Ovis aries: one gene and its partners. The protein of the gene in region 4 interacts with the protein of the main gene of each other region in a biochemical or structural test. Links are inferred from orthologs where the notes say so. Each region holds a gene or a part of one and is shown on either strand. Other genes may lie near its edges.

Region 1 (3,131 bases), on a different chromosome or scaffold from region 4:
AACCTATCTTTAAATATTATAGGTTGCCTTCATCTGACATAATTACAATACTATACTATAAGTGCTCATTTCCTTTATGTGGACCAAAAATAATTTGCATTAAAACATACTATTCATACTTGGTGATTATTTTATTACCATAAATTATCGTATACAATTTTTTGATAAGGATATTATAAATCATATTTTAAACAAAAATGTATGCATGGCATATGTAAGCAGTAACATCTCGAAGGAGAAAACACCCATGAAAACATTTACCTAAAATTTAGTAACACTGAAAAACACTAGATTGTGCAGAGTAATGATTAAAAGCTATGTGTAATACACCGGAACACTGGTAAGTCTTCAGGTACTGGAGGAACAACCTGGCATAGGGAAAAGATCAGAGTAGGAACAGCCACGTCCTTAGAAGTGCATGTCATCAAAAAATAAATCCCTCAAAATAGCATTACACAGAGATTCTTCCTTTGGCACTTAACAATACAGACAAAGGTGTATTGGGTTTAATGTGATTTTATTATTAGGTAAATTTTAGTTACTTTATATAGATAAAAATATACAATATTGCTTTAAGTTTTTTAAGTGTATACTTGATCGTCAACATATTCACATACAGTTTAGAAGCCTGTTTTTCCCCCACTACACAGTTCATCCAGTAACATGTGGAAGACACTAACAAAAATTATTTAGATGAAGACTTTTCATAAAAGATTTCAATGTAAAAGTGGAATATTAATCTGGTCTAAATCTTTAGTGATTCCTCCTGCTACAAACAAATTATGAAATGTTTTAGACAAATTTATTTTTTTCAACACTTGAATTCATTGTCCAGGTTCAAAATTCTGTTGGAAAATGCATAAAACTGACTTAGCTATTGTGTCTGAAGTCACTTTTATATACATTGATTTACTAAAAAAAGAAAAGTATAGTATTTTAATACTATATTTCAGTTAGGGATTTCATTGTGTTTTTATATAATACATGCAAAACATGTCTATGCCTTTCAGCTGTCCTATTTAAGTAAAAGAAAGTCAGACGGTGGCACTTTAAAGTCACCCAAGGATGGTAAAGTTATTAGTGGTCTGATTAATTTGCTACTTAAAAAGACACAGTGATAAAATATGTTAAGACCCAAACAAGTTATTTATGTGCATATATAAGGTATGCACTATTTTTCAATGAAAGACTGAAAACATTTTACAAACATCATTGTTCATTATAAACTATACAATGCACCATTTTTTCACTTATACCAATACTTTGCACCAAACATTGCTATATTTAATCTTAACACTCCTCAAATATGAGAAAAACAAATAGTTTCCACTGTACTAAGAAGTGAAATTTATAAAGTCAACATATTACATTTTAAAGGATTACAGGTCTAAAACAGTTTTTAAAGAATTTATACATATTGAAATGGGTGCTGTACTTATTAAAGAGCTAAAAATAAAGCTGCTTCTCTTCATTTTAAGTTAATACTCAGGGTTGCATTTAACAGCAGATTCTTTACAGGGCAACATTCAACTATTAAGGTGGAGATTTTAGTAAAGCTAAATGGTGATATATCTCTTACTTCTGAAAACTCTTGAAATTTTAGTGCTGCTCTCTTACAATAACTAAAAAAAAATTTAGGAAGATATTTCCACTTCCAAAATTTTTCAACGTAAGGCACACGGCAACATTAAAATCTAGAAACAACTAGAGTAAGTAATAAATATTTCTCTTTTCAACCATTATTTGCTCTTTACCTGAAGAAAGTGGGTGAGTAGTGCAGTTGAAACATGCCTAGATTAATAAAAATGACTGAATTTAAGAAATACCAATAATATTTGTGTGCAGAATGTTATTAATTTTAAAAAGAAAAAGTATATTTTATGTAAATATATATTTTACATAAAATATACTCCCTACAGTGTTATAGGTAGAAAAAAGTGTGAGGCACTTACATTACCAAGGAGGGAGGAGCATACTGAGATTATCTTTTTATACAAGCACCAAACCATTTGTTTTAACCTCTGAGATAAAAGCAGAAGCTAAGAGTAAAAGGAAATAGTTCATATTTGGTACACTAATAATCTACAAGTTCAAAACACAAAGTATTTTATTTCAATCTGATGGAAGTAATTCCACCAGAGAAAAAATTTTCATATTTAAAACTGTCAAAATATCTCCCTGAAAAGGTTCTGTATATTCTGTGGTATTATTTCAGAATACTGTAAACTGTAGATGGTATTTCACTCCTCTGTGACAGCATACTATTCTAATGATGGTAGTATAGGTGAATAACTCCTCTTATTACAAACCAGATTTTAATGTTTTTATAACAGTGAAAATAACACGTACATCAATGCCTCCATGTGAACTTGCTGACATCCAACAAGGACAGTCTTATTACTCTGTGATGCTTCACAAACTACTCAAAAACCAAGGTGAGGAGTGGGCTTGGAATTACAGGAATCCACCGGATGTCAAATCAGGGTAAGTTCTGGCTTCTGATGGGTGAAGATGGGTGGCAGGCTGAGTGTTACTCATGCTGTTTAATTCAGCTGGATACGTTTCATTTAAAATTGCTCCGTTCTGAAACTGCAAACAGCAACACAACTTATTAGAACAGATCCTTCATATATATTAAACCATCAGGTATGTGAAATGTAGTTCTAAAATCTTTATCCTCCAAGTTGTTCTTGTTAAACTTCAAACTCCTTTACTGCTATTTTAACTCATTCAGTGAAGTTGTATTGAACACATGTATTAGTTGCACTTAGAATCTTTCAGTTTCTCCATTAGATAGTATAGGTGAGTGATATCATTGTCTCACTTTAGATGTGGCGATCCATTGACTATCTGATCAATGAAATGCCTTTGGTTTGGGCAGGAGCCACTGGATCAGAAGGTACTAGCCACGAACCACAGGTACTATTCTCCGTCATAAGTCTGCTTTGACCAGATTGTATCTCAGTAAGTTTTAGGTACCAATAAACTAACTACATTCAAGATCACCACATTGGACTACAGATAACCCAGAACTTTCTGAAAAGCAGCAAGTTATGATTTGCGAGAGGTTTCTTAATATGCCTTATATACTATATACCATGGGTATGATTTCTATAACCAATTTTATTCAT
Region 2 (3,500 bases), on a different chromosome or scaffold from region 4:
GGGCCGCTGGAATACCACTTAAGAGCACATAATGTAGAGTGATTTTACTTCATTATCAAGTGTGACTTTAATTCACAAAACATGAGAGTACTTAACCACTTTTTAAACTTTAAGGAGAGCTTATGAAACTAAATTAAGATGAAACAGTGGGGGCAGGGGTGGTGCTCCTAAATCGATCACACTGAGAGCATGCTTGGACTTCATCAAGATGAAGATGCCACAGGAGGAAGTCTAGTAATTCTGCTTCACCCTTTCTTATGACTGAGGCACATTTTTTCTGAAAGGCACTCAACAGTGTTCCCACTTTCGGGCCTACATGATGATTATCTCTTCACACGTCAGCAAAGTTAGGCCCTTTCCTACTCTCCACCCATGTAACACTCATGTTAGCCCTCCCACCTGAAATGCCTTTTACCCCAAACCCAAATCTAATCCAGCTCTCAAGACCACCAAGTGTGCAGAAGAATCATGTGTCCATGCAACAGCCCCTCTTTTTCTAAAATCTTATTTTTATTTTGGTTGCACTGGGTCTTCGTTGCTTTTGTGCAGGTCTTCTCTTGTGGCGAGTGGGCCGTTCTATTGAGGTGCGCAGGCACCTCCTGGTGGCGGCTTCACTCGCTGCAGCACAGGGGCTCAGGAGCTGGGGCGTGTGGGCTTATTCGCTCTGTGGCATGTGGGGTCTTCCCGCGTCAGGGATCAAACCTGTGTCTCCTGCATTGGCAGGCGGATTCTTATCCACTACACCACGAGGGAAGTCTACCCCCTTTCTTTTGATCAACTTTTCCATCACATAAGCTGAGTTTTCATCCTTCTGGTACTTTCTTTCTCCCTTCCAAAAGTCTGGTGCTTTCCCCACAATATTAAATATTAACAACTTTATTTCCTCAGCCTCCTCGTGCCTTCTTCCTTCCTCACTCATATCCCTCCCTCAAAGGCATCTGTATTTTAGTTCCTTCTAACCAAATCTCAGCCACCTGGAGAGGTCCAGTCTGCCTAGTTCATGCACCCCTTCCCTCTTGATGTCTTCCCTAGTAATCCAGACCATAGGAATCATACCTTTCTCCTGTAGTATACACAGGTCTTGGTCAACTAGGCATTTACTTGCATTTTATTACATTATTCAGTTACATTATACAGTTGCCCTGTATGTCTTAATCTTGCCTTTTTGGCAAGATTTTATTCCTCATCATGAAGGTCTTTCCTTTTTATAAACTCTTTGGTGCCAGTGACTGTATTCGCTACAGGAAATAAACTGCTTAAAACACTGATGACATTTATTCTCAAATGATCCTAAACACCTTACTCCTGTTCCCATTTCCAAAAACCCATGTTTACTTTTGCTCTTAGATGTCCACTGTCATGACTGAATGATACCACACCCTGACCGTGACCCCAGGGTCACTGAAATTAAGCAGGCATAGGCGTCACTAAGGTCCCTTAGGAGCCTGGACATTAACCAGATCCGCTAGTCTGCAAATGCCCTGACACCCCGGACATTAGCCATGGTTTTGCTGCTCTTCAAATTTAGGCATAAAGATGCACAACTTACCATCCCTCTAATAGGAACATTTTTCCTGGAAACAATTTTGCCATATGCTGGCCACCCATGAACTCACTGGCTTTACTGCAGTGTATAAACCTGAATCACACTAAATAGTTGTTGTATTTTTGCCAATAAAATCATTGCCAGATGAGGTTTTTTTTCATATTAAAGATGTATATTTATAAATATGATACCTTTCACAAATAAAGGAGATCTAAGCACATCTGAGGCATTTATCCTAACTTGACAAGAATCCCAGACACATGACAACCTTTATTGTTAGCAACACACATTTTTGTCTACTTTACCTTATAATGGAAATTTTCATCTTCAAATTTTTCACCATAAATGCTTTCTCCACCTGTCCCATTCTGATTTGAGAAGTCTCCACCCTGAATCATAAATTTCTTAATAACTGAAAAAAAAGGAAAACCAGCATTAGAAACTACAGTACAGATGACTACAGCAATGTTAACGAATGTGTGACAATAAAGACAGCTTCTCTCCTGCTCTCTCCACCTACACGCACAACTCCAGGCTCTTCAAAAGCCTTTTCCCAATCCAAATCCCCACTAACACTCAGAGAATTAGTTCGTATGGCACCTCCCCTACAACACTGTCAAACCTCAAGACTGGATCTACTAATTTTTCTCCCATAGTACCTTGACTCTACCTTTCTTTTATAATATGGATCATAACAATCTGTCTCTTCTAGCAAACAGTTAAGAACAGCAACACCGTTTTTCTTCCGGGTAACCATGTGCATGGCTGGGCACATAATGGTTACTCAAAAATGCCTACTGAATAAACCAATTATTCCCAAGAGGCCTGTTACACTGTATTGGAATTACTTCTGCAAACGTTATTACTTAACACTGCCACCACATTCAGATTCCCCAGGACTCTGTATCTGCTTATATGACACTCATGTAGTCAGGAGACACAGATGGACGATAAAGGGAAAAGATACGGCAGAGCCTGGAAGAACCCATGTGTTTCCTGATGGGAAAGGTCACAGGGTGCCTTCTTCCCCCAGCCAAGAAAATGCAGCAACACGTGTACAATGTTGCTCCCCAGGAAAGCCCTTGAGGAACTCAGCACCCAAGGTTTCTACAGGGGCTCATCATGAAGGCACTCTCTGCCTAGCAGATACCAAAATTCCACCACATCCTCAAAAGGAAAGCAACTGTTCAGCATAAATCAAACTGAACAGTCTCAGCAGAGCTAGCCACCTTACGATTCAGAGAATGGCAAAGTGCTCTGACTTCAGGCAATTCCACCCTTGCAAGTAGATTTATGACAGCAGTCTCAGGTTTGCAATGTGAACTCTTGTCCACAGACACTTTTTTAGAATACAGGCAACTCCTTGATTTACTGTGCTTTGCAGATACTGTGGGTTTTGTTTTTTAACTTGAAGGTCTGTAGCAATTCTGCATCAGCAAGTCCATCAGTGCCATTTTTCCAACAGCATGTGCTCACTTCATGTCTCTGTCACATTTTGGTAATTCTTACAGTATTTCTAACTTTTTCATTATTATTTGCTACAGTGATCTGTGACCAGTGATTTTTGATGTTACTACTATAATTGTTCTGGCATTTTTTTTAGCAATAAAGTATTAGATTAAGATATGTATTTTTCTCCAGATACAATGCTACTGTGCACTTTAACAGACTATAGTATCCTGCACATATAACTTTCCTATGCACTGGGAAACCCGAACTTTGTAACTTGCTCTCTTACAACATTCACTTTATTGCAGTAGTCTGGAACCAAACCTGCAGTATCTCCCTGGTATGCTTATATTTGGGACTTCCCAAGTGGCGCTAGTGGTAAAGAATCCACCTGCCAAGGAGGAAACACAGGAGATGGAGGTTCAATTCCTGGGTTGGAAAGATCCCCTGCAGAAGGAAATGGCAACCCACTCCAGTATTCTTGCTTGGAATATTCCATGGACAG
Region 3 (2,728 bases), on a different chromosome or scaffold from region 4:
GAACTTCCTTTGTGACCTACTGGCCACCATCCAAGTGGCAGGGAACATGGGGAGGTCCTCAGCAGGACAGAGCAGCTCAAGGTCACCAGAGGCTGAGTACACCCACTGGAAGCCACAGAGGTCACGGCCAAAGAAAGTGGTATGGCCCCAAAGCATTCCCACAGCCCAGCGACCCGGGGGAGTCGAGTGCAGGCCTGACACCCCCTGCACCTACACCACACGTCAGCCTCTGGACAGGGAGTGAGCCAGACCCATCCACACCTGGATTTAGCCCAAGGGGGTCCCCAGTCTGACTTCTGGCCTCCAGGATGGAGACACTGTGTGTAGTTAAAGGCCACCAAATTTGTGAGATTGTCTTCAAGGTGACAGGGAAGGCACACACAACCTGGGTCAATGGTTCAGGGTGACCCATGCAGGGTCCACACTGGGGGTTCCAGGAAGCTCTGGGAGGTGAGGGGGTGGGGGCAGAGTGGCACTGAGAGGTCCACATGGAGGCCAGCAGAGATCACGATGTCTATTTATTCCCCACACGTTATCTCGTCATCATGGTAGCACTCATGAGTTAGGACGCCTTGTGGGATGTGTGTGGGGCTGTCTCTACGAGTTACCTACACACACGGTACTGGTACGGTGTCACCTCCCACAGGACCCGACACCATCAGGGAGCCTCCAGCGATCTCATCACCAACACTGTGGCCCGAGCTGCGGTGCCAGGGACCCTCTCCACCCTGCCCTGGGCTGCAGGGACATCCACAGTGGCTGCCCGGTGATCTCAGGCCCAGGCAGGTGGTCATCAGGGACCCCCATAGCCCTGACCCCCAAGCAGGAGGAGAGCCCGCTGAGGATGCAGGCAAGCCAGGCCAGCAGGACCACCACCTGTGGACAGAAGGCAGTGGCTGGGATACACAGCCAGGCTGCGACAGGCTCAGGAGCCAGCTCAAAGGTCATGAGAAGGCCCCTCACAGTCTGTCAATTGTAAGCACTGGGAAAAGCATGGCGATCAGACCCGAGTCCATCCGAGCACTGGACTGGAATTTAAGTCCCAGAAATGGGTTGTGTGCACCCAAGACGTCTGCTTCGGCCCCCGCTGGGCGCAGAAACTGCCTCTGGGGCACTTGCAACTGGAGTTCCTTGTCTGAGAACCCAGGTCTGCTGGGCCGGGCTGGCTGGCAGTGAGCTCGCTTGAGCAGGGGTGGCCAGGGAGGCCACGGTCAACTCAGAAAGCGGCTTCTCGGGGGCTGGGAGGCCCTGCAGACAGACTGGGAAGGCAGGCGGGGGCTGAAGAAGGGGCTTCGGGGCCACGGCATCCCACAGGCCACTTCTCGGAGAGCGGTGAGAAGACCACCCCCACCTCAGAATGTTCTAGAAAATACTTTAGTGACCAGGTCTTCAGGGCAGGGGGCCAGGAGGGAGACGGGTGCTGGTCTGCACTCACAGCTTGCTGGCTCTGTTTCAAGAAGGATCTGGGGGCCGTGAGAGAGTATAAAAAGGGAGGGAGGGGAGGAAGTAAAAGTAAACATCATAAAAATCCGGCTTAACATGCAGGTCCAAGTTCTTTTTCTCTCGTGGGCGATCCAATGGGAGGAGACGGAAAAGGTCAAGAAGGCTTCCTGTAGGCCGGGAAGGACCCGATGGCGCTGGGCAGGCTGGAGGGAGAAACACCTGAGTGGGCCCACCCGGCAAGAGACCTGAGGGCCCAAGGTGCCCCCCAGCTCCGGGGACTCACGGGGCGGTCACTCCTGTTGGTCATCATTGCTGGCACTGGGAGTCCGACTCCTGATCTGACTGCGGAGCTGCTCTATCAACTCTGGGTTCTGTTGCTGCATCTGCTGAGCGAACTGCTGGCCCCTGCAGGTGGGGGCAGGGGAGGCGTGCCTGGGCTCAGCCAGGTCCAAGGCACCCACCCAGCCGCCTCTCCCTACCTGACGTGCCCCTGGAGGGCAGAGGGACCACTCCCTGGAGGATGAGGCCCCACAGAGCACCCGGGGACCTTGGACCCTGCCCCACCCAGGAGCCCCACCTGGCAGGTCTACTCACGCCTGGATGAGACTGGCCAGGTCATTCTGCGAGGGGCTGGTGCCGGGAGTCCCCAGGGGGTTGTGGCCGCCTGAAATCATGCCGGACATGCTGCAAAGAGAGTCCTGGACTTGAAGACGGCTCAGCCCCCTTTTCCCGCTGCGGCCCTGCTTGACCCTTCCCCCCTGCTGGCAAGAGACATTACCTGGGACCCAAGTCCCCCTGAGCCCACCCTTCTGACTGTAACCTGTCAATTTCACCAACTTTCCCAGGAACATCCATTTTTGACTTAAAAACAGTGATTCTCAGTGGGGCAGTGCTGCCCCCCAGGGACACCGGGGCATGCCAGTGACACATAAGACCGTAGAATTTCTGAGTCCACTGATGTGGAAACACCGTCAGGCCGATCCACAGACGGGTGACTGGTAGTCAGGAGCTGGGAGACAACGATATTGGGGGTGGGGCTTCATTTTGGGGTGATGGACGTTCTGGAATTAGATTGTAGTGACCAACTACAGGACATTATAAGCGTACTAAATGCCATGGGACTACGGACCTTAAAATGGCTAAAACAGGAAACTGTATACATCTTTTACCACAATAATTTTTAACCACAAGGTCCAAAGAAGAGAGGACTTCCCTAGTGGTCCAGTAGTTAAGAATTTGCCTTGCAATCCAGGATTTGTAGGTTCAATCCCTGCTGGGGAACTAA
Region 4 (4,223 bases):
TTTTGACCAAATTCTTCCTGATAACTTTCAAAATTTTGCTCTGTTGCAACATCTCACGGGAAATGTTCAGAGGAAGATCCTCAGAATCCACCACACCTCTAATGAAATCTGAAACAGACCAAATGCAGCCAGTCACTCCAAAGACAAAAACTGACAAATCCGTAAACCCAAAAAACCAAAGATGAATGATTTTCCCCATGTTTAGTTTAAAAACCAGGAGCTGACAGGATTAATCTCTTAGACTAGTAACAGTGACAGTTTCTTCTATCAGACTATACTTACTCAGGTATTCAGGGATTAGCTCCTCACAGTTATCCATGATGAAAACTCTGCGAACATACAGCTTAATGTTGTTCTTCTTCTTTCTGTTTTCAAACAGGTCAAAAGGAGCTCGTCTTGGGACAAAAAGAAGGGCTCTGAATTCCAACTGTCCTTCAACTGAAAAATGCTATAACAAAACAATCAAGATTAACACAGGGCAAATAACTTGAAGCAATAAAAAATGTCACGTATACCAGAGTTACCTAACAATGACTCTGGGCAAAGCATGGGGCATCGAGGAACAGAATGCAGCCTCCAACATCTGCAGAGAAGGAAGCACTTGGCAGTCACTCACCTTGACCGCCAAGTGGTCCTCCCAGTCGTTGGTCAGGCTCTTGTAGAACTCTCCATACTCCTCGTTAGTGATGTCATCAGGGTTTCTGGTCCAGATAGGCTTTGTCTTGTTCAGCTCTTCTTGATCGATGTACTTCTCCTTGATCTTCTTCTTCTTCTTCTTGTCCCCATCCTTCTTCTCTTCCTCCTCTTCATCTGAGCCAACGTCTTCTATCTCGGGCTTGTCATCAGACTCCTTTTCTTCTTTCTCCTTCTCTTCCTCTTTGTCTTCCTTCTCTTCTGCTTCATCATCGCTAACTTCTTTATCACGTTCCTTTTCCACCTTCAAAGGAGGACAAATCACGTCACCTCTCCACAAAACTGGGGGAAAAAGGCTAAAGGAGACTGCAGCACTTACACCAATACCACCTGAGAAACACTAGTAGCCAGAAAGCTACTCACCCATTTCTGAAGGATCTATTAACAGCCCTGGGAACCTTGACAGGAGTCGACCCACCAGCCCAGGAAATTAGTGCAAGTTTGGATCTCTTATAAAAAGCACGAAGGACTGACTAACAGGATTTCAGTTCAATCACTTTAGTAACCTACATATACAGGATACATGGAAACTCACAAAAAGAGTGATGGGATAGCCAATGAACTGAGAATGCTTCTTCACAATCTCCTTTATTCTCCGCTCCTCCAGGTACTCAGTCTGGTCTTCTTTCAGATGCAGAATAACCTTTGTTCCACGCCCCATCGGTTCTCCTGAAAAGGAAGTCCAGAGATTGAGGCCAATTTCAATCACAATGGCCTGATCAAGGCAAAAAAAAATACTATTTCGCTCTCTAGGACAGTTATCCGAAAAGTCTATGAAGCAGAAGCTTGTGGTTACTACAACTGGGCAGAGTCTCAGGGCAGTTAAGGGCCTTGCCCAAGATAACCAACCACAAGTGCATGTGCATGCTATCACCCTCCAGGCAAACAGGTTTTTAAACGCTACACACAAACTTCACCCCTTCTTTGGGGCTCCAGTGCCTAAAGCACCCCACCCTGTTCTCGGGTGCCTACCTGTGTCAGTCCTCACTGTGAAGGACCCTCCTGCAGAAGACTCCCAGGCATACTGCTCATCATCGTTATGTTTGGTGATGACGGTCACTTTCTCAGCCACCAAATAGGCTGAATAAAACCCGACACCAAACTGGCCAATCATGGAGATATCAGCGCCAGCCTGCAAAGCCTCCATGAACGCTTTGGTCCCAGACTTGGCGATGGTGCCCAGATTATTAATCAAATCGGCCTTGGTCATCCCAATGCCGGTGTCCACGATGGTGAGGGTTCGATCTTGCTTGTTCGGTATGAGATTAATGTGCAGCTCTTTCCCCGAGTCTAATTTACTGGGATCGGTCAAGCTCTCATACCTGATCTTGTCCAGGGCCTATTTAAAAAAAGACACGTGATGACACGCAACTTCCCCCCTAAAACAGTGCCCTTTCACACAAACACCCCACTCCGCAATGAGACTTACGTCTGACGAGTTTGAAATCAGCTCCCTCAGGAAAATCTCTTTATTCGAGTAGAAAGTGTTGATGATCAATGACATCAACTGGGCAATTTCCGCCTGGAAGGCGAACGTCTCCACCTCCTCCTCCTCCATCGGCTGGTCCTGGGCCTGGGTCTCCTCGGGCATCTGCCGGGGAACGCGGAGCCCGTGAGGCCACCGGCCGGACCCCTCCCCGCCGCGTCTCGCTCCCGCTCCCGAGACCGGGGCGCGCGGGAGGCGCCGGCTGACAAAGGATGACCTCATTCCGGGGGCCGGGCGCCGCCGCTGCCGCCGCCGCCCACGCCGGCCGCACGGCCGCCGCTCGGCCCGGGCGCCCCCACCCGCGGCCCGGGGACCCCCCTCCGGGGCCGCAGACCCCGGCCCTCACCATCCCGCACGACCCCGGAGCCCCGGGGCCCACTCGCTCCCGACGGCGGGGGGAGGGCGGGGGGGAGGGGACGGGAGACCGCCGCAGGCCCGAGGCCTACCGGGTTAATCACGGCCGCCCCGGGCCCGCCGGCCTCAGGGGGCTCCGGGGGCTGCCCTCGCCGCCGCCCACCCGCCCGTGGATCCCCGCGTCCCCCTACAACCGCCTCCCCTCACCTTGGCTGAAGGACTAGCACGGGCTCCGCAGCGACGCAGCACCGGGACGCAGAGGCAACTGGCGCGCCGCCCCCGCGCCGCCCTTATATAGAGGCGGGCCCGCCCAGCGCGCGGCGCCTTTTCCAGAAGCCTCCCGAACCTTCCGGAAGAACCCTCCCCAACCGCCGGAGCGGCCGCGCGCCTGCGCCTGCGCACTGGAGGCCGCCCGCCCCCTCCTCGGGGCCGCGCCGCGCGCTCCCACGCCTCAGGGCGCCTGCGTGCCAAGCGTGCCCGCGCCCGCCGCAGTGCGCCTGCGCTATCCGGAGCGTTCCGGCGGGTCTCGCGCCTTCCGGTGCCGCCGTTCCCAGCCCTACCTGCCCCGGCGCGCGGCGTTCTGCGCCCCGCCGGCCTCACACCGCTGGCCCGCCAACCCCGCTTGGCGCGCGTCGGCCTAACGCTCCCCCGACCCAAACCTCTGTCCAGGCCCCGGGGGCTGATCGCCCGTGCCAGCAGCTCTGGGAAGTCCAGAAAAGTAAACTCTCGGTGGTTAAAGCGTGTCCCCAGATAGTGTGCGCTCCGGATCCCCCCAGCATCGGGACCCCCCGACTATGGGCCTGGGGCTAGGTTTCGAGCCTTGAGGCCGCGCTTAGGGGATCAAAGCCGGGGTGAGGGGTCCAGTCCCGTGTCACAGGTATATGCTTGGGGCATTGATCGCAGGCTCAGGTCCATGGTTAGGGGTTTGGGGGGGTCCGGGCAGCGATTAGAGGGTCTAGGGCGCATCTCTGCCAGGGGCAGCGGTTATAGGTTCAGGGCCCTAGGAATTCGGGCAACAAGTGCCTGCCAGAGCCTCGTTAACGCGGAGGCTCAGAGCCCCAGCCTGGTTGTGGGGCGCAGAGGTCTGTGAGCGAGGGGTGACCAGCGTGTGTGCAGGGGGAGCAGAGGGGAACTCCAGAGCCTCGTGGGTCTGTTCGGCTGGTTCTGAACCAGAGGTGGGCCCTGGAACAAACCACCATTCCCCCGCCACTCCAGTATGGGGACTCGTCCTGTCCTTAGGCCCGATTGCGCCCAAGGCAGGGGGAGCGGTGGCGCGGGGAATGTTAAAAGGGGACACAGTCCCGAATTCTCCCGGCCTTTGCTTAGTTCTTTGAGCCTTTGTACCTACTTTGTGCTGTGCTTAGTCGCTCAGTCGTGTCCAACTCTGCGACGGTAGCCCGCCAGGCTCCTCTGTCCAGGGGGATTCTCCAGGGACGAATACTGGAGTAGGTTGCCATGCCCTCCTCCAGGGGATCTTCTCGAACCCAGGCCTCCTGCATTGCAAGAGGATTCTTTACCGTCTGCGCCGGTGGCTTCCCTGTTACCTACTTTGGGTTTGTTTTAAAACTGCATCTTTCAAGGCACTGCAGGCCCTAGTCTGGAATTCTGGGACTTGGTGATCATACATGCTGACCCAGCCCACGCACGCATCATGATTTTGTTAAAAGGCCCATCTCTTTTTACTTATTTT

What was found. The genes of interacting proteins can lie anywhere in the genome.
Region 1: the proteins of HSP90AA1 (region 4) and AHR form a complex in vitro, tested with the Homo sapiens proteins (2 studies listed by BioGRID). The link is inferred for Ovis aries from reciprocal best matches to the Homo sapiens genes HSP90AA1 and AHR.
Region 2: the proteins of HSP90AA1 (region 4) and PPID form a complex in vitro, tested with the Homo sapiens proteins (2 studies listed by BioGRID). The link is inferred for Ovis aries from reciprocal best matches to the Homo sapiens genes HSP90AA1 and PPID.
Region 3: the proteins of HSP90AA1 (region 4) and SGTA form a complex in vitro, tested with the Homo sapiens proteins (2 studies listed by BioGRID, with this or other methods). The link is inferred for Ovis aries from reciprocal best matches to the Homo sapiens genes HSP90AA1 and SGTA.

What each region holds. Positions count from the first base shown.
Region 1 is NC_056057.1:26,828,841-26,831,971, reverse strand, and holds the end of AHR (aryl hydrocarbon receptor), read right to left. Parts: exon of another isoform or gene 2,590-3,131; coding exon 2,455-2,589; 3' UTR 501-2,454; downstream 1-500. UniProt on the Homo sapiens protein: Ligand-activated transcription factor that enables cells to adapt to changing conditions by sensing compounds from the environment, diet, microbiome and cellular metabolism, and which plays important roles in development, immunity and cancer.
Region 2 is NC_056070.1:40,515,355-40,518,854, reverse strand, and holds part of PPID (peptidyl-prolyl cis-trans isomerase D), read right to left. Parts: intron 1,959-3,500; coding exon 1,852-1,958; intron 1-1,851. UniProt on the Homo sapiens protein: PPIase that catalyzes the cis-trans isomerization of proline imidic peptide bonds in oligopeptides and may therefore assist protein folding. Proposed to act as a co-chaperone in HSP90 complexes such as in unligated steroid receptors heterocomplexes.
Region 3 is NC_056058.1:18,712,602-18,715,329, reverse strand, and holds the end of SGTA (small glutamine-rich tetratricopeptide repeat-containing protein alpha), read right to left. Parts: intron 2,128-2,728; coding exon 2,038-2,127; intron 1,849-2,037; coding exon 1,734-1,848; 3' UTR 501-1,733; downstream 1-500. UniProt on the Homo sapiens protein: Co-chaperone that binds misfolded and hydrophobic patches-containing client proteins in the cytosol. Mediates their targeting to the endoplasmic reticulum but also regulates their sorting to the proteasome when targeting fails.
Region 4 is NC_056071.1:64,574,006-64,578,228, forward strand, and holds the start of HSP90AA1 (heat shock protein HSP 90-alpha), read right to left. Parts: upstream 2,801-4,223; 5' UTR 2,741-2,800; intron 2,285-2,740; coding exon 2,123-2,284; intron 2,033-2,122; coding exon 1,666-2,032; intron 1,363-1,665; coding exon 1,229-1,362; intron 938-1,228; coding exon 617-937; intron 449-616; coding exon 283-448; intron 109-282; coding exon 1-108. UniProt on the Homo sapiens protein: Molecular chaperone that promotes the maturation, structural maintenance and proper regulation of specific target proteins involved for instance in cell cycle control and signal transduction.